Lepisosteus oculatus: one gene and its partner. The protein of the gene in region 1 purifies or fractionates together with the protein of each later gene. This does not show direct contact. Links are inferred from orthologs where the notes say so. Each region holds a gene or a part of one and is shown on either strand. Other genes may lie near its edges. The genes, in order: inositol polyphosphate 5-phosphatase K and gart.

Region 1 (9,835 bases):
CTAGCCTGGATCTGCTCCTGCAGAGCAGATGCTGAGCATCACCCACGATGGAGGAGGAAATGGGTCTCCTTTAGTATGAAAGGGGATAAATATGTGTGAAAATCGATTATTATAAATTGGCTTTATCACTGGTTCCCAACTAATGGCCTGAACATTTCTGTTATGAGACAGCATGTGCTCTGCTTCTCACTAACTGCTTTGCAGATTCTAAGCTGTCCAGAAATAAAGCAAGCAAACGGGTCTAGAGTGGACATTGAAAGGAAGTGGTCCCTTTGGAGAAAAGTCTGTTCTTAATGACAGACGAATCTCCTGGGCACCTGTCAGCTGTTCAGGTCCCATTCTGGGTACTGGTAGTGTACAGCGCTTCAGCACTTTAGGGTTGACAGGTTCATTCAGAAGACAGGAGAATGAGAGAGATCATACAGGCAAAAGAGCAACTCCATGTGCTGCCAGTATGAACTGCAGGGAACTCTAGTGTGAACTACGTTAGCTAGTATTATCCCACTGTTCCTTTCAAGCAAACAGAGGTTTCCAGATAACAGAGGACACTACAAAGACATACATGTTCAGACACTCTGAGAATAAAAAGTTTAATAAAAAATGAAGGCTTAACAATATTAATTGGTTTGGACCACAAATGAGACTCTGTTTGATAAACAAACCATGCCCTCTCACTGTATTAACAGCCCCCTAATGAGGTGGATGACAATGCCTTCCATTGTTCAGGAAGGCCAAGTCAGCAGCGAGAGATACAGCACACACATGTCTCTGAAAGACACTGAAGCTGCTGGGATGGCAGCCTGGCCCAGTACTGCAATGAAAAGGTCCTGCATCAAGACCATTAGTTTCAGCCTTGACTGGAGATACAGCTTCAACTACAATTCTTTAAAGATGGTAGCACCTCTTTTAACCAGCTCTTAGTTTGCCACAAGCCTACAGCAGTGTCAGTGTTCAGGAATTTTATGTATTTGCATTTTGAAAAAGAAACAAAGTCTTCATGTGTGAGAGGAGAAGACCGCTTTGTTACAGCATCATAGCTTTCCCTAACTTGCAGGCACAGATGGTGCTACACAGAGAACTGGCATGGAATTCATTTTTACTTTCTTCATCAGTTTTTTACGCTCATGTTTGAAGCTCTAGAACTCTAGAAGGTGTGAACTGAGACGGACGCTGCAGAGAAGAGTAAAAGGCCGAACCTTCACATATCCCAGCGGGGCCAGCGTGTCCATCAGGAGGCGACTCCAGGGGTCCTCAAACGTCATGTCATTAATAAAATTCAGAAGCCTGGAGTTGACTTCCTGCAGCCTGCAGAGAAAACACAGAACAGCTGCCAAAGGCACCAGCGATACCAGCCTATGCCACCCGCATCCAGCATGCCGGAGTGCAGCTCTAGGCGGGCACTCTGCACTGGCAGCTCCTGAATGGGTGCACACGCCTTTCAGGGCTTCTTTATTTTCCTCTTCGAACATGACTGAACATGTCAGATGTCAACTGACACACCAGGGACCTGTGTGAGGACTTTGTTGCCTTCTGAGCAGTGATCAGAGGTATTATTCTCTTCTCGGGCATCAGCAGCTGTGGTTGAGGTAAGAGTACAGTACTGCATGTCTCGGGCTGAATATGTTAGAAACATATGCCTAATTCTTAGTAAGAAAGGATTTTCTGCAACATACATGTCTGCTCTGTCTATTTTGTTTTAGTCTTTAACTGGGACTTAATTTTTATTCTGTGACTTAAAGTTCTTATTGTTAGCTATGACTGTACTGTGATACTGGCAAAACTGATGCCCTTATAGCTGGTGTTAAAAAAAGTCAAACGGTAACATAAAATGATACATAAAGTAGAGGCTCATGTCACTCTGAAACAGAGCTTTAAAATAGTTATTACAGAGAATAAATTGTGTGAATTTCAAGGTAGGATGTTGCATGTTTTGATGTTAATGGAGTCTCTATGTGGCATTTAATTTTGCTTTGTACAACAAGCTGTTTTACTGTTGTTTGAAGTAGGACCATTTGTCACACACAACAGTCCTGTAAGCAGGGTGCTGACAATACCATGGAGCAGATCTCAAGAGAAAGTGGTCTTAAAGGAATGGCAGAAACTGAATAAGCAATACTCCTTTAAAAGGAGAACAGATTTTGTAATTGCAGTAGAAAGTGATGAAATAGAAATGTAGATGGGAAGAAGCCTCTTGCAGGATGTCCCACCTGCTGGACACTCACTCACCCAATCACAAACAAGTCAGCAGGTTTCTCAGAGTCCAGCTCCAGCAGGGAGCTGACATCGCTGGGGGGGGCAGCAGTCCCCACATTCCAGGTGACCATGTGCAACCTGAGAGAGAGGAGCAGAACCACAGCACCGCTGGTACATAAAGAAGGACACATTCCAGACATGGACAACTTGCATTGCATTGGTTCAGAGGAACATCGCTGCACTGCGTCTCCAAAGGCTATAAATAGCATCTCAGAAATTTTACAAAAACATCCAACAAGAGTCCAGCTGGAAACCACATTACTCCATCCCCTCCTCACTATGAAAAATCTCAGTGATGTGCCTGTAAATTTATGATACGTATGACTGAGACATTTGACTAGAGACTTTCCCATTTTGTTTTTTAGTATGTCTGCACCTCTCGCATCACATCAGTTAAAGCATTCTGAGTACTGAAGTGGAGGAGGAATTTGTGCTCATTGCCCTGGTTGTCCTTCCCTGGACTATCGGAAATACATGTGAATTTCTGGAGCTTTAAACCACTCTCTCTCCCCCCAGGACGCCAGGGAGCAGATGGTAACAGCCAAGGCACCTGAAGCGCTCCTCCTCGCGGGCGCCCCGCTTCCCGCAGAGCAGGAAAGCCTCATTCAGGGTGCGAGACACCTCCTCCTGCAGCTCCTCGTCAGAGCTCAGGTCCTCCACGCAGGTCATGAGCTGCACCACGCGCTGGCGCAGGAGCAGCCTCCCGCTGGTGGACACCGAGGCTGTGCTGGCCATGCTGTCGGAGCGGGCACGCAGCCCCGGGAGCCCCTCCGCATCCTCCATCCGCTGGCAGGCTGGGTCGGTCAGGGCGAGCTGGCAGTGAAGCTCCACACGCAATCACACACTGCCTCCCGGCACTTCTGCTCAGACTAGCCGATTGCGGCAGCAAGCCAGTAGCAATGCAAAACAAGCCGATCGATGAAAATTAAGATGATTCAATTACTGGTACAAGTGTTCAGTGAAAAGTTCTTAAAAATATATGAATGAGCTACAATCAATGGTTCCAGTATGAATCAGCAACTGCAATTCAAACAACAGTTTCTTGTTCTCTTTCTTGAACTTCTTTTGCATCCAGAATAAAATCCTTTCCAAAGTTCTTTGGTCAAAAGGTAATTTCTTGCAGTTTACAAAGCTGTAGTCGGACGTTTCAGAGCAGGTGAACAAGTCCTCCTTCTTTCAGCACGGGAGGAGCTCCAGCACCAGGACTGGCAGGCCCAGCAAGACCACCAAAAAGACAGAAGGAAAAACACCAAAAGACCAACTTCCTAATGAAGTAACAAGTCCACTTCTCCTTTAGGTCCAATTGTGCTCCTCAAATGAATTGGTGAAAACAACAATAAAACTTAAAAGGATGTTCTGCCTCTCAAGTGGAGGATTATTTAAATCTCCAGGAACCCACGTGACAGAGAGGCCTTGGTGACCAGAGGCTTGCGAATGCGTCTGTGCTGGGCACTGGCTGATTCCAGCATCACTGGCCCATTGTTAGGAGACATTTGAGCTCTAATCCGGTTAATATTCCAGTGAGGCAAATAATGATTTGTCTTGTGCGTAAGAGTTGGACTCTATAACACCAACAGTCTTGCTCTCCAAGCCAAATCACGACAAAAGGGGGTCTATCCCCCTCTAGCCCCAGTCTAGCCCCAATCCCCCACCTAGCCTCTTAACATGCTATTGGTCCACTGTGGTGGTCAGGCCACAAAATACATTAAAATTAAGTCAGCAGGTTAAAAAGGGCATTGGCAAAGTAAATAACTGTCTGAATTACATTTGATACCTTTGGCTTATTTTCAATGTCACTGAAGAGTTATCAGAATAACTTTCGCCACAGCATCCATTGGCTTGCCCAGTACAGTATGGAATTGTTCAAAATTATACCAAACTGGGCAACCTTAATGTTTACTTTAATTCTTATTGGAAAATTAGATTCTCTTACAATAACTTTGCTTAAAATTGCATTTTAAAAGAAGGTAACTACATTACATTATTCAGAGAGTAGTATCTGTGTATGAATTAGATGTAGCATATGCGTCATGACTTAACAGACTATCCCCATTAACAGACCACCCTTCCCCCAACAGAATGTTAAATTTTGCTTTTACTGTATTAACAGGACTCATAGATGTCATTATGCCCTGATTTTAGGTACATAGGTGCAGAAAGAAGTGAAGCAAAAGATCAAGATGGCCCATTTATCCCATCATACTTGTTTTCTTTTGGTAGAATAAAGCTAAAAGATTGCTGGGACCAAGGCTGCACCAATCCAACACCTTTCCAGAGCTCTCAGACAGCCACAGGCCTGCGGTTCAGCTCCCTCCTCACCCCCCCGTCACCCCACTCCTTCCAGGACAGCTCTGGAGCTGAAGCACACAAAGAAGAAAATCCGCTTTCCCCTGTGACAGCAGAGCTCTGGTTCTTAATTGGCAGAACTCCTGGCTAATGAATTGAAACTGTGCTTGGAGTGCTCAGATGTCCAGAAAAAGACTGTTACACAAAACCCACAAATACCTCTTTCACAAGGACTTTAATCCCCTCAGTTCACTGGATAATTCTGTCACAAGGTGCTTCCAGCATTCCTGAACATATCACAACAGAGGCATTCTTCAGATCAGGGGGCCAGGAGCAGGGTGAGGGTCTGAGCTCCAGTTCAGACCATTTGAACTTGCATGATCTGTTCAGCTGGCCAAACTCCGTCTCCATTAGTCAGGACCAGTGGATGCAATAGTGACATTCTCAATCTTCTCAAATTGCTATAATTGAGAGCACTGCAAGCTGCATTCTGACATATGTATGTAGAAAGATACAAGGACAGCTCCCACTAGAAAAAGCCCAGCACATTTGCGAGATGAGGTGCAGATTTTGTGAATAATATAAAACGTAATTAAGTTAATATGAACAGTTACAAACAAGAGGAGGACACCCAGGTTATCTTGTCTCTTTGTTAGTCCCTAACTGAAGGATCAAGCTGTTTTCTAACAGAAGCCAGGGTATGGGCTTCAACAAGGCTGGGTAACATGTTCTACATTCCCACAACCCTCTGGCTGAAGACATACCTCCTGTCCTCAGTTTAAAATGTACTTCCTCGTAGTTTCTGCTTGTAGCCTCTGTATCTTCACGTAGGGTTTGCGTTTAATTGTTTATTCGGAAGAAATCTACTGGGCTGATGTTGTCAATGTCTTTGAGGATTTTGAACATTTGTATCAGGTCGGCTTATTGTCTTCTCTGTTCAAAACTGTAAAGATTTAGTTCCTTTGGCCTGTCAGTGTAGGAAATTTCTTTGTGATCTGGAATGTATCTGGTTGCTCTTTTCTGGACAGATTACACAGAAGCAACATCTTTTCTACAACATGGTGTACAAAACTGTACACAATTTTCTAAATGAAGCCATGCTAGTGCATTGAAGACGTTTAACATAACATCCCTTGATTTAAATTCTGCACTTTTAAATTTAAATATATATTCTTTCATACATATTTAGGATTTCCTTTTTATTCCTTCTCCTCATTGTCTAGAAGATATAAGCAGAACCTGCATCAACACACACATCTGTCGTTTACATCAGTAGCCTCTTCTATCTCAGTTTCCCATTTTGTATCTGCAAGTTATCTTCTTGCTGCCTACACTGCCAAACCCTGCCTACCTCTCCTATTGTCACTTGGATTCAACAAGGAGTGGCAACACTTGCCAACTTGGGTGGACTTAACTTGACCAGGACACCCTCATCTTGTCGTGCAAGAGTGGCCCCTGTGACTGGCCAGGGCCTGCGAGTGTCCAGTGTGGTCTCCGAGGAGCGCTCGCTCTGCTGTAGGCTCCACAGTTCGCGCTGCCTGACCAGGCAAAGGAGCAGAAACACGCGCTTTCACAGAGCACGCTATGAGCACCCTCACTCCTCTGATCTTGGACTGTATCGGTGAGTCAAACTGATTATTTCTGTGATCGGAAGTGCATAAACAGAAAATTATTGACAATTATAATTTTTTTATCAATTCAGGAACAGTCTCACAAAACATAATATATATTATATATAAATAATAACATATGGAAAAAATGGCAAAAAAGTTCTCTATTGGTCCAGCCTGAATAGTAGGACTGATCTTTCCCATTTTTTCTAATTTTTTCTTCTTTCTACAGCACCTACCAGTTACTAATCCCTAAACTCCGTATGTATGTGGTAAGAAGCTCTATATACAGTCCCGGGCGGCAATACCCTAACAACCCCAGAGCAATGAGCACCAGCTTCGCACCTTCAGAGCAAATGAAGAACTAAGAGCACAGACTGTGTTCTCCAGCAGTGAGGGATCAGGTATTTCCTCATGGCGACACATGGGTCCACACCTGACCAGCTCTGAGCACCAGAACCCTCTCACTTCCTGGAAGCAGGTTTCTTATGAGGTAACAAGTTACAAGAGGAAAGAGGTCTGCAGCTTCAACCATCCATGTCAATCTTCCTGTCGATGCCTTTTCCAAGGCAACAGCAATGGAACTAAAAACTCCCCACTGCTCTGGCAGCTCCCCAGGGAGACAGGGCCCTGAGCATAAGGGTCTCACAGGGGAAAGACCAGGTTTCTGCAGCCAGGTGTGAACCTGCCCTCAGGACGTGCTGAAGACACCTGGAGCATGAGGAAGGTCATCAATTGGCCATTTTACCCAAATAGTTCATGTGATTCATAGTAGATGTTCAAGCTGGGGATCTCATTCAGCTGTTTCAGACTCCCAAAGCCTTTTGTCTGATCAGATAACAACATTCAACATCTAAGGTTAAATAACCATAATTAGAATCATGTATCATGATCTACACATTGCAGAAACACTCAGCTCTCACACTGGCATCATTATCATCCTCACCCCTAAACGTACCTGAAAGTGTCCATCTTGGCTGCAGTCTTACTGCTGATCTTGGCCTGGAACAGAGAGTTCTGGGTCTCTGACGTAGGGCTTAAATGCATCCTTGAGCCTGTGAAGACACACACCACATCAGCTCACGGACGCAGCTTCATCATTCCCAGGGACCCTGCAGTCACACAGTCCAGTGCTCTGGGAGAAGCCTGAGAAATCAGTGCTGCATCATTTGCACTGCTGACAACTGAGGTGTGTGCAGATACCACGAAAGGGTCAGGCTCAATCTGATGTTTCTGTGCTGTGTCCTACAGCCCTAACTATTGTGAAATATTAATATTTTGAATGCAGTACTTCTCTGTATATTACAAAACACTATTTGAAAACAAATGATGGAACAGACAGCTAATTCATAAAAAAGATTAGCCACATCCTGGATTTTCTCTGTGTCTAATCGCCTTTTCTAATCCTTCTGATGTCTGCTTTTCACAGACCATCACATGCCTGGACCAGAACAATCTGATCAATATGCTGCATGTCTTTTTCAGAATCGCTTCCCCAGAATTCCTTCTTATACAGGGCTGACGGTAAAGGTCTGCGCTTTTACTGTGCTCGTGATACAGGCACTCTCACGTCGTCTCCCATTATTTATCGGGCGTCTCCATCTTCCAGGGCTGCTGTCAGAAAAGATTTTATATGTTCGTGATTTTTTCCGCTTCACTCCAATGCTGATATAGCTGTGCCATATCTATCTATGGAACCAGAACATTAATAGCACGCTGTTTAATCATTTTATAATATTTAGCGTTATAATTCAGCCCTTTAATATTTAAATCCAGAGACATCTTGAATGCCTGGTTTATGACAAGTGGAATTCTTTTTAAAACAATTTTTAATTAAAAACTGTTCAAGTACAGTTTTATTTAAAAAATCTTTTTTATCAGCCTATGACGTTCACAGTAGACATCTGTTAATCAAACAGCGCAGACCCACATCTGCGTGACACTGGAACACTGACAGGACGCGACACGACACGGAAAACACCTGTGGGTGCGAGTGGTCTACAGCATGAACAACGAGAGCATAATTATAGATCTTCGCGTTGTAGGAAACTTAAATCATCCTGATGCCACTCTCCATAAATACCGGACTTGCAATACACGAGCTGACACGTCTTACCGTCTTAAGAGTTCCAGTTTTAACATCAGTCAACTGGTAAAGTGCCAACAGCTTCAACATAGTAGCGTTCCTACTATAAGAGCATGTGTAAACACGCAGAGCACAATCACGCATCCCACGTTAGACGGCAAACGACCGTGTTTAACATCATTATTACTATCCACATTAACACTAAGCACTGCGCTGCTTCGCCTACGTACGTCACTGTGAGATACTGTTATTCCCATAGCTGAGTCAGGCTGAGCCAAATAAACGCGGAAAGAAAAGAATTTCATGCTGCCCGTTCACTCCACGATTTCCTTTATTTTAGAAATAATCTCATCTTTCAGACATTTACGACTTCTAGGCAGACGTCGCAAAATAAGTTTAAAGGCATCTCTGACAGCACAGATTAGCGCATCAGTTGACTAATCACGTATTTACAGCACCGCCCCTCCTCTCCGATCAAATAAAGGCTAAACGGATCCGCCAGAGAGGCATCAGTTTCCTTCTATATATTTTCCTGCTAATCTGAACATGGTCGATTCACAATGTTTCAATTACCATAAAAACAAAATATTAAGTCATACCGTGCGGTAATAATGAGCCAGCTACGCCAGTCACGCTGTCCGAAAAACAAACAGGTGCATCTGCTGTGCCTACTGAGTGACCGGGCGCTTGCAGACACAGCCGCTTGCTGCCAGCCCGAGTGCGGCATGAAGACGCTGGAGCTGGCTTCCTATTTGCGGTGCCGTTCACAATAAAAGTCCTCTAAAACACGCTAAAACTCCTGGACAGTGTAAAGTTGCATTTCTGGCAAAACAACAATTTGTGCATCCTCAGAACTGGGTGGAATGCGATACGAAGGCTCGCAGCTAATAGAAAATGACCGGTCTTCAGTCGTTTTTACCTCCTTGCTAATGTTTTTGTGTTTTTAGATCACTTCCTCTTGGCAAATTGGTACAGTGCTGGACAGGGGAAAGAGTCGCCTCTGACCAAACAAAACTGTGTACATCTCAAAACCCTTTTTATCGTATGGGGAAAAAAACAGTTTAAAGAGAATGACAATTTACAGGAGTATAAATGAAAGAATAGTTTGCTGGGTCAGCTTCAAAGGAACAGGTAAAGGTTTAGTCCATGCTGAGAGGAAAAGAAAAGAACATTTCGGCTGCAGAACCTTCTTCAGATTTGAGGGCGTAAATGAAACGAAACGTAGGCATCAGTAGAGGTGATCTGCAATACAAAAAAACATGAAAAATTCCAGAGAATGTTAAAAAGTTACAAGTAACCTAGACGAAATTACTACGCAGGTTTGTTTTAATGTTTTTATTTTTTAAACACAAAAGGGAAATACAACAAACAGGGGTATATACATACAAATGTCACAACGTGATAGAACAAAGGTACCATCAGATGAAGGAAAGAACAAAAGAGAAAAATTAGTACGCAGGTGTTTGCTTTGCTGAGCGCTGCTGTACTCGTTACTGAGGACTTTTACTTTGATTGAAATTCGGCTGTTTACAAACATTTCCGGTTCATTCGCGCTGCTTAATGGTGCACGTTTCACGACCTTGATGACGCTATATGTACT
Region 2 (9,365 bases), on another chromosome or scaffold:
GAACCAGAACATTTACCACAATGCCCCTCAAATTGGAACAGTCCAGACTAGAAAGAAGGAGGAGACAACACTTGAACAGAACAAATGAACACATTCAGACAGACTGAGAGAGCCCTAGCACTCAAAGACCTCGAATGGCAGAAAGAATATTTACATAGAGCAATGAAAATTATTATACAACTGTTAAAAAAATCTAAATTACTACAATTACCCACTATCACATCACTAAATAAAAACATGCAGTACAACCCTTCAAAACCAGTACAAAGAAATCTGCAATCTGGGTATCGTTTTGGATACATTAAGTATTAGTCAGTTATACTCCCCTAAAGCTTTTGTGGAACTCTACAGAAACCAATAAATATGACAACATAAGATCATGAAAAAGGAGGCCATGTGTGCATTCTAGCCTGTTTGATAGTTAATTGATTCAAAAATCTCATCCAGCCATTTCCTGAAAAAAAAAAAGAATAGGGTTATCAGCTTCAACCACATGGCTGGGTAGTTTGACTAGACTCCCACAACTCTTTGGGTTAAGAAGTGCCACTCTTTCACATAGTTTCCACTTGCGTTCTCTGGTTCCTGTTTCATTGCTCAAACCCAATGCACTGACTTTGTCAATGCTTTGGAGGATTTTTAATACTCAGGACACCTTGTCATCTTGCCTATTCAAGACGAAAAAAGTTTGGTTTGTCAATAAAGAAGATTCACTGAACTTGTAGCTTACTAGCCCAATCAGCCATTCCACTGACAGGTAGGCAGACACTCCAGAGAAACTATATAGATTTACTGCCCCCACCACTCCAAAAATTATTCATACTTTATTCATAAACTATTAATCAACACAGGGCATTCTGGTGCGTTTAATTTTCTAACCAGGCAACTTAACTGCATGCAGGACTGACCTATAGAAAACATCAAACACAGCATATAACATTTTTAAAATGTCAGTTCTGAATTACAGCCTAACCGTGACCTTTCAGACAGAAGCAAATCACTGACATCTCCCGTTAATAAGCATCACTCACGTGGGACTAGTCTCCCATTAAAAACACTTTTGTCCTTAAATCTTTCAGCAGTGTAAAAGGACACCAGTGTATAACTGCCACACTCATGGGCCCTTTTCATATAGATGCTAAATATCAAACAGGAAACACGTGATAATTCCTCTAGGATATTATCTTTGGGAGCCAAACTGGACAGATTACATTACACAGAGCTCATCAATGCTATAGGCATATATCTAAGTAGCTTGTTCCAGTCTCCATCAACCCTTTGTGTTAATAGTTTTATTTTGCACTGAAGATGCAGCATTCTGATCATCCTGAAGACTATTAAACAAGTTCTACAACTGGTGCCAAAGCACGGATGAAATCTAATTGGGGAAATGAAAATATACTCATAGGCACAGGCTTAAATGAGAACTGCTTCCCAATTTCTCAGACCCGGTATTCTAGTCTAGAAGGTATTGCAAAATGTACACATTTCTAATTAAATGCAAAATTGTGAATTTCATATACGTACTGTACAGCTGCAATGTAGTCACTGACAAATTAGAAACTGCTGGTCTTGCCACAGGCAAGAGCGAGTATTTGCGCAAATTCTGATGTAAAAGCGGCCCTTCCTGCTCACTAGTCGCAGCAAGTCAATGAGAAACAGTCTCCTAACAATATTAATTCCTTTCTTCTCTTTTTTATGTTGTATATATTTTAAACAATACTTCACTGTCGAGCATTTGAGACATTTTAGTGGTCGGATAAAACTGAGGACTGGATCAGCAGAAAGTTCAACAGTTTTCTTTTCCAAGGGATCGTCAACTAGCCAAGAGATGGGTAATAAACATGGACACTGATGTTGCCCATCGACAAGTTTCTTGGCGAGATTCAGCATGAGGTACAATCGAATAAGTACGGGTTGTGCAGCAGAAACTTCACCCCAGAAATGTTCAAAAGTCATCTGCATGCTGAGTTAAGTAGTATTTGCCGACAAAACCATCTCTAAGTCAATATGTTGAACACAATTCAATTGCACTTAAATCAGCTGTTCAGACGACAGCACGGTCTATGGTGCAACAAGTTCTCCAACAATACAAGTCCTGCTATGATTTTTTTTCTTATAGGTGTGATACATCATAAAATAACCACCAAAGTAAATGACAGAGCACTTTTGCAAAACTTGAAAACAAATGTCTATTTTAGCTGGTTTGCAGGTTGGTCTTTTTTGCAATACTTAAAAAGTATCTAAAAAACAAGTTGGCTTCTATGTGTCGGTTTCATTAAACAATTTTAAAATAAATAAAGTTGCACAATTTGCTTGATCTAAAGGTAACAGGACTGCTCTCGCATCACTGGAAGATTTGTTGCTTCGTTCTGAATCACAGACAATGACGTCTTTAAAGGAGCTACGCACACATTGAAATGGCCTCTTTTGTGATGTAAATTGGAGGTTGTACACATTATCTTGCACTTGGTAATTTCATTGTGGTTGGAAATGCACTCATCATTGCCAATTCATTATAAACCCCAAATGTAAAAATAGGGTTGCAGTTCCCCTTAAATGTCAATCCAATGCTAGAATGCTGCAAACATCTTCTAGTCAATCCTGTATTCCTAGCTCTACACACTGAGGTTTGCAGTTACCGTATCTGGATTACTGCAGGAAAGGCTCTTCAAACTTGTCTTGGTTCTAAATGACACCTTCTGCAGTCGTGATTCACTTGCAATCCACAGGGAGCTGTCAGGCAGGGGATGAATGAGGAATCGGGAATCAGGAACTAACCCAGGATGAACTTCTGGCTAGAAGAAGGGGCTGATCCGCACACCTAATATTTATTGCATTGTCCTATCTCACCGACTCCGATTCTGGGACATCATTCAAGTTTCCAGGACACTCACCAGGGATAATCAGTTTCCTAAAAAAGAACGGGTGGTAAATCGTGTCCTTATAAAACCTGGGAATATTTCTTAACCAGTTTGACAGTTCTGTATGTAAACAATACAACACACGTCAGTTTTTAAGCCCGTAGCTGGTTGGAGAGAGATTTTTGTTTTAAAACTTGCATGTCCCACTAAGAATTCATCTAAATCTCACCAATAATGCTGGCAACTAGAGACATGAATTTAGACGGGCAACTTAGATTCCCGTATGAATACAGTGAATACAAATAATCACTGAAAGAAGAGGTTAAGGTCTACCTCTGACCTACACTCATGCGGTTATCACTACTGATTTGGGTAATTGGAATTTGTCAATGCGATTGTGCAATTTTTAAACTCGTCCACCCTTCTTACAATCTCTTTTTACAGACCTAACATCAACACATCTCTCAAGCCTAGACAGGGGGGCGCGATTTTACTGTTGGAATGTAGCGTTTTAACTCGCTGTGCATGACTTCTCATTACAGTAATTGCAAAATTCGTCGGCTCATATGCGCCTCACGAGGTCAGAGAAGACGAAATGTCATTTCAGTAAAAGAAAAAATATATATGCAAATAATCTTTCCCTAGACAGTCAAATCACTCATAAACACACATTTTTACTCTTGTGTTCCAAGAGTTGCAGGTTTTAATCCAAAGTAAAAAGATATGATTACCGGGGTTCTTCCTATATTTCTGAAGCAATTTACCTGTCCAAGAAGACATTGATCGTGTCTATCATGCATTTTGATGTACTTTTAATTAACTGACCCATGCATATATTTAAATGAGCTCTAGGCGGCTCATTTAAATTGTTTCTTTCTTGGGCAATTTTACAAATTGCAAATTATGAGTCGTATATAAATACATTATAAAGTTTAACATTCATATTAAACTCGAGTCATGGAGTTGAGAACGCACACGTTTAACAAAGCGGGAAACAATCGTGTCCAAAGTAAACTCAAAGTAATACTATTCTCTCAAAACCACACGTGCAAACCCCAAAAGTTATTACCTGAAAGTTAGGGGACGCGCCTGAGGCTTTGTGAATGTAGCGGCCAGCAGTGCTTTCCGGAACGTTGGTGGGATAACACTTCGTATGCAGGGAGTCCCAAATGTTGCAGCGTCTTCCTGCACAGATACGGAACTGAAGCACACAGCAAACGCCTCGTGCTGCGAGTTTGAACACATGGGGAGGGGGCGGTGAACTATCGAAATAAACCTATGACATCATTATCTAAATCCAACACAATGCACTCGTGTACTTCTAACTAATCGTGCGATCTCCCTAGTTTTGTGTCGCAAAAAACGAATAAGTTTGGATCACGTCTTTTCTCCAACACAGCATGCTTACAGAGCATCATGGGGGATGTAGTTTCCCAAACCACGTGTTGTATTTCCTTTTCTAGCGCCAGATCTGGTCAAATCAAAGCAAAACCTGTATAGCACCTTATTAATAATAATAATAATAATAATAATAATAATTGCTTACACTTATATAGCACTTTTCTGGACGCTCCACTCAAAGTGGTTTACAGGTAATGGGGACTCCCCTCCACCACCACCAATGTGCAGCATCCACCTGGATGATGCAACGGCAGCCATAGTGCGCCAGAATGCTCACCACACATCAGCTATCAGTGGGGAGGAGAGCAGAGTAATGTAGCAAATTCATAGAGGGGGATTATTAGGAGGCCATGATTGATAAGGGCCAATGGGAAATTTGGCCAGGACGCCGGGGTTACACCCCTACTCTTTTCGAGAAACACCCTGGGATTTTTAATGACCACAGAGAGTCAGGACCTCGGTTTTATGTCTCATCTGAAGGACGGCGCCTGTTTACAGTATAGTGTCCCTGTCACTATACTAGGGCATTCAGACCCACACAGACCACAGGGTGAGCGCCACCTGCTGGCCCCACTAACACCTCTTCCAGCAGCAACCTTGGTTTTTCCCAGGAGGTCTCCCATCCAGGTACTGACCAGACTCACACCATCTTAGTTTCAGGGGGTTGCCAGTTGTGAGTTGCAGGGTGATATTTAACCTTAATTCAACAGATCTCTGCAAAATGTGGTATTTACAAATTTGAGAATAACCTTCATGATTTTTTTTTATAAGTCAACCTTTTCTCATTAACTTTCATTTTAACACTATTGTCATATTTAATTTGTAGTATTTTGTATTTCTATCAAGATTTCAATTATGATTTTTGTAAATCTTATTGACATTTTCTTTCATTGTATTCAGAGAACTTTAGGATTGCTTTGGCATGAAAGGCACTATACAAATAAAGAAATAAAGATGACAGTGTTTCAAGTCTTTTCATTTAATCTATTCACAATCTGTATCTGAGATTAAGAGAAATCAAACCAGAGGAAGTATGGGAGTGAAGCATAATTAAGCCTTATTGCACGTTATTTAAGATGGTCAAGAGTTGGGATGGAGAGCTCCAGTAATACAATCTGATCAGGGTGAAAGGAGGCTGTGTGAGAAGCGAGGAAGTCTGGTATCACATTTTTCAGTTTGAGTCTTCTGCGGGGTAACTCTCTAAGAACAGACAAGCATCCCCCTGCCCATTGATCCCCGGTGCTTCATCAACTCATAACAGGTGATCAAGGGCGTGTTCTGGTTTTCCAGCACATTAATCAATTAAAATCAAGTACAGTCTTCTGCCTGCATGCTCCTTCCTCTCCATGGCTCATGAGAAGCAGTACAGAGGTTGCAGAGGGGTTCAGTGTAGCCTCTAAGCGCAGACTCTGAGGGTGTCCGAATGCAGCAGGGGCAGATCGGGGGCGAGGAGAAGCTCCTGTCCAAGGGCGGTGTCTTTCAGGGCAAACAGAGTGACTCCTGACTTGTATGCTGCTGGGATCACAATGTGCGTCATTCTGGGGTCATTCTCTTCCTCACGCACCATCTGCCTTACCTGGCCTGCCACAGGACACAGTATATTGTGATACACAATACTAGTAATCGTCATCATCATCATCAAGTGCAAGCTTCACAACATGAAAAACACTACCTATGAATTGAACTTCACGGCAGAAGTGATAAATTTAGTTTCTATTAAAAAATGTAAAAATTAAATTAGTAATTTAATTAAATTAAGAAAAGTACAAAAGCATTATAAAACTGGCAAGGCAGCTTTGAAGAAGGGCCTAGGGCAGTAACTAATAATGCTCCTGGAGGCCAAAACAGAAAAAACATAGAGATGAAGTTTGAAAGAGACTGACAAATGGAGAAGCTAACAGTCAGGCCCTGGGCTCTTCTCACCTGCCACGTCTAGAATGTCCCAGCAGGGGTCAGTGTGTCCCTGAGGCAATACCGAGACCGGTGTATCAGCTGTCAGCCTCTGCAGGACATCCTCTCTCCTCACCAACAGCACCGAATCACTGCACAGACGCTGCTGCACCACCTGAGCGCTCACTGGAAATACACACACTGATCACAGAGAGTTTCACTGGAAATACACACACTGATCACAGAGAGGCTCACTGGAAATACACACCGATCACAGATCAGGTTTACTGGAAATACACACACTGATCACAGAGAATCTCACTGGAAATACACACACTGATCACAGAGAGGCTCACTGGAAATACACACACTGATCACAGAGAGGCTCACTAGAAATACAAACACTGATCACAGAGAGTCTCCCTGGAAATACAAACTGATCACAGATCAGGCTCACTGGTCATACACATGCTGATCACAGAGAGTCTCCCTGGAAATACACACACTGATCACAGAGAGTCTCACTGGAAATACACACACTGATCACAGAGAGTCTCACTGGAAATACACACACTGATCAGAGAGAGGCTCACTGGAAATACACACACTGATCACAGAGTCTCTCTGGAAATACACACACTGATCACAGAGAGGCTCCCTGGAAATACACACTGATCACAGATCAGGCTCACTGGACATACACATGCTGATCACAGAGAGTCTCCCTGGAAATACACACACTGATCACAGAGTCTCACTGGAAATACACACACTGATCAGAGAGAGGCTCCCTGGAAATACACACACTGATCACAGAGTCTCACTGGAAATACACACACTGATCAGAGAGAGGCTCCCTGGAAATACACACACTGATCACAGAGAGGCTCACTGGAAATACACACACTGATCATAGAAAGTTTCAATGCATACAGTAATTGATATTTAATTGAAAAGGGTCTCATTGCAAGCACACACTGATCAGAGAGGGTCTCTCTGCACACACATAATGACTCAGTGCTGAGTCAAACACTGCATTCAAACACTGACTGAACATGATTTCAACCTTAAATCCTTTACAGAACAAACAGAGAGAACTAAAGAAGAAAAACAGTTGTGTCTCAGGGACAGGCCAGTCGGTTCCCACCACTGCAGCTCACTCACCCACATCCAGGGGGTTTGTCATGTAAACGGCACTGGGTGTGACGCCAAAGATGAGTTGGTGGTGCCAGGCATCAGGCACCTCCTCACCCTCGGGCACTGCCAGCTGCATGTTCATGGTGGCAACAGGAACAGCACCCTTCCGGATCCATGAGGCCAGCCAGGGTACCAGAGCCAGCTGCCGGGATGGGTGGAGTGGGAAAAACCGGCCCAGCACCCGTCCACCACTTGCCCTCTCCGCACCCTCCACCAGCTGCTGGTGTGTGGCCCCTGGAAAAACACACACTGATCACAAAGGGTCTCACTGGAAATACACACACTGATCACAGAGAGTCTCACTGGAAATACACACACTGATCACAGAGAGTCTCACAGGGAATACACACACTGATCACAGAGAGTCTCACAGGGAATACACAAACTGGTCACAGAGAGTCTCGCTGGAAATACACACATTGATCACAGGGAGTCTCGCTAGAAATATACAAACTGGGACAGCAGAAAGACATACACAAGCCCTCAGCCCTCAACCCTGAACAGCACAGCATGGACTTCAACACCACCAGACCCAGAGGATCGATACCAGTGGTTCCAACCACATCCTCAGTTACATTTATGGTCTAATTATTTTATTAGCTGCATAACTGGAATATAAGTCCAATTAAGCTCCAAGGTGGTTTATAGTTAACTGTACCTTAAATGCCTTGTGTAATCACCTGTAAAAGACCTTAAGAAAAATCCTATCTGTGTCTAATTTAGAAAACAATGAGGTTAATTGTCTAATTGAAGATTCAGGTCAGAACAAAGACTAAAAGACACAAGGCCTTTCAGCAACAGAGTCTGAGACTCCTGGTTTATAAGACTCTTTAAATCAGCAATATATTAAGACTTGAGGGAAGGCAATGATCACTTCCAGTCAGCTCTCGTAAACAATGAGCACAGGGTAAATGAACACTGACAATCGTTTGCCTGCGAAGGTGCAGCTGTCCCTACTCTGCACTGGTACACTAGGACTGTGCCCAACACCTCCAAATGCAGCTCCTGTCTCTGGGACCTCGCAGTGTCCAGGCTCACTGTCGCTCAGTGCTCAACGTTCCACACTCTGCTGCTGACAGACTGAAGGCACAGATCACAGACCACTGGGAGGCGCTGTCCCACACACAAGGACACGGCATCACACTCAACTTGGGGCTTTATTAAGATTTTTACACTTTTTTGTCAGTTGAATTCAGTTGAGGCTGTTGCTTCAGGATGGTTTCCACAAAACTGAATATGAAGCTGGACAAGAGTAATAAATCCCCCCACGTAATTAGACTCGTTAATGAATTAACTGAGAGCCTGGATTGGGAGCCTGAAAGACTGCAGGCACTGTGGCTGACACCCCTTGCTCTTAAGAATGTATGTTCTAATGCGAACGTGTTCTGGCAGAGAACACGTAATAAGAACATGTGCGACCTGTTCATGAGAACGTGAGAGCAAAACAATCGCGTCTGGGTCAGCTTCTTTCACAATGCCCGTATTGAGTTAGTATTTTGACTAACGCCTAGAGGCCACTTTAAACATGATTTCTCCTCCTCCGTGGACCTTATCCGCTGTCAGTACTGGAACAAAAAGGAAAGCTCGTACCAGCCTGGCTCCGGGAGAGCAGATACTCCGGGAGAGGGGCCTCGTTTTGACGCAGGCGTGTCTGGACGCAGCGGTCCGCGTCCTCGGCCGTCACGCTGATCCCCAGGACCTGCAGCACGTCCACTACAGCAGTAGCCCCACATGCCGACGCCCCGATCTGGAGGGTCTGCCGCTGCACGGCCTCGTCTATCGTCCACAGCATCGCGGCAGCTCCCTCCTCCCCCTCACTGTTGTATCCATTTCCCCCGTCCAACTCCATCCCCCCGGGGCTATGAAGTCCAAGACCAGACAGCCAGCCCAAGCGTGGGACTAGAGCCCGGCACTGCAGAAACAGACACAGTGGTTCATGTGTTAACACCAACAAGAGGTAACATGAAGATTCAGTTTCTAGTTGTCAGAAAAATCTCTGTATGCTGATTTGGGTGG

What was found.
Region 2: the proteins of inositol polyphosphate 5-phosphatase K (region 1) and gart purify together in Homo sapiens (co-immunoprecipitation; 3 studies listed by BioGRID and IntAct, counting the BioPlex papers as one, with this or other methods). This does not show direct contact. The link is inferred for Lepisosteus oculatus from reciprocal best matches to the Homo sapiens genes INPP5K and GART.

Annotation. Positions count from the first base shown.
Region 1 is NC_090721.1:246,824-256,658, forward strand, and holds the start of inositol polyphosphate 5-phosphatase K, read right to left. Parts: upstream 3,839-9,835; 5' UTR 3,037-3,838; coding exon 2,804-3,036; intron 2,332-2,803; coding exon 2,227-2,331; intron 1,306-2,226; coding exon 1,197-1,305; intron 1-1,196. UniProt on the Homo sapiens protein: Inositol 5-phosphatase which acts on inositol 1,4,5-trisphosphate, inositol 1,3,4,5-tetrakisphosphate, phosphatidylinositol 4,5-bisphosphate and phosphatidylinositol 3,4,5-trisphosphate.
Region 2 is NC_090708.1:27,019,397-27,028,761, forward strand, and holds the start of gart (trifunctional purine biosynthetic protein adenosine-3), read right to left. Parts: upstream 4,254-9,365; 5' UTR 4,107-4,253; coding exon 3,931-4,106; intron 2,912-3,930; exon of another isoform or gene 2,779-2,911; intron 2,736-2,778; exon of another isoform or gene 2,640-2,735; intron 1-2,639. Other genes in the region: uncharacterized protein, read right to left, coding at 5,659-5,843, 6,186-6,338, 7,317-7,583, 8,940-9,198. UniProt on the Homo sapiens protein: Trifunctional enzyme that catalyzes three distinct reactions as part of the 'de novo' inosine monophosphate biosynthetic pathway.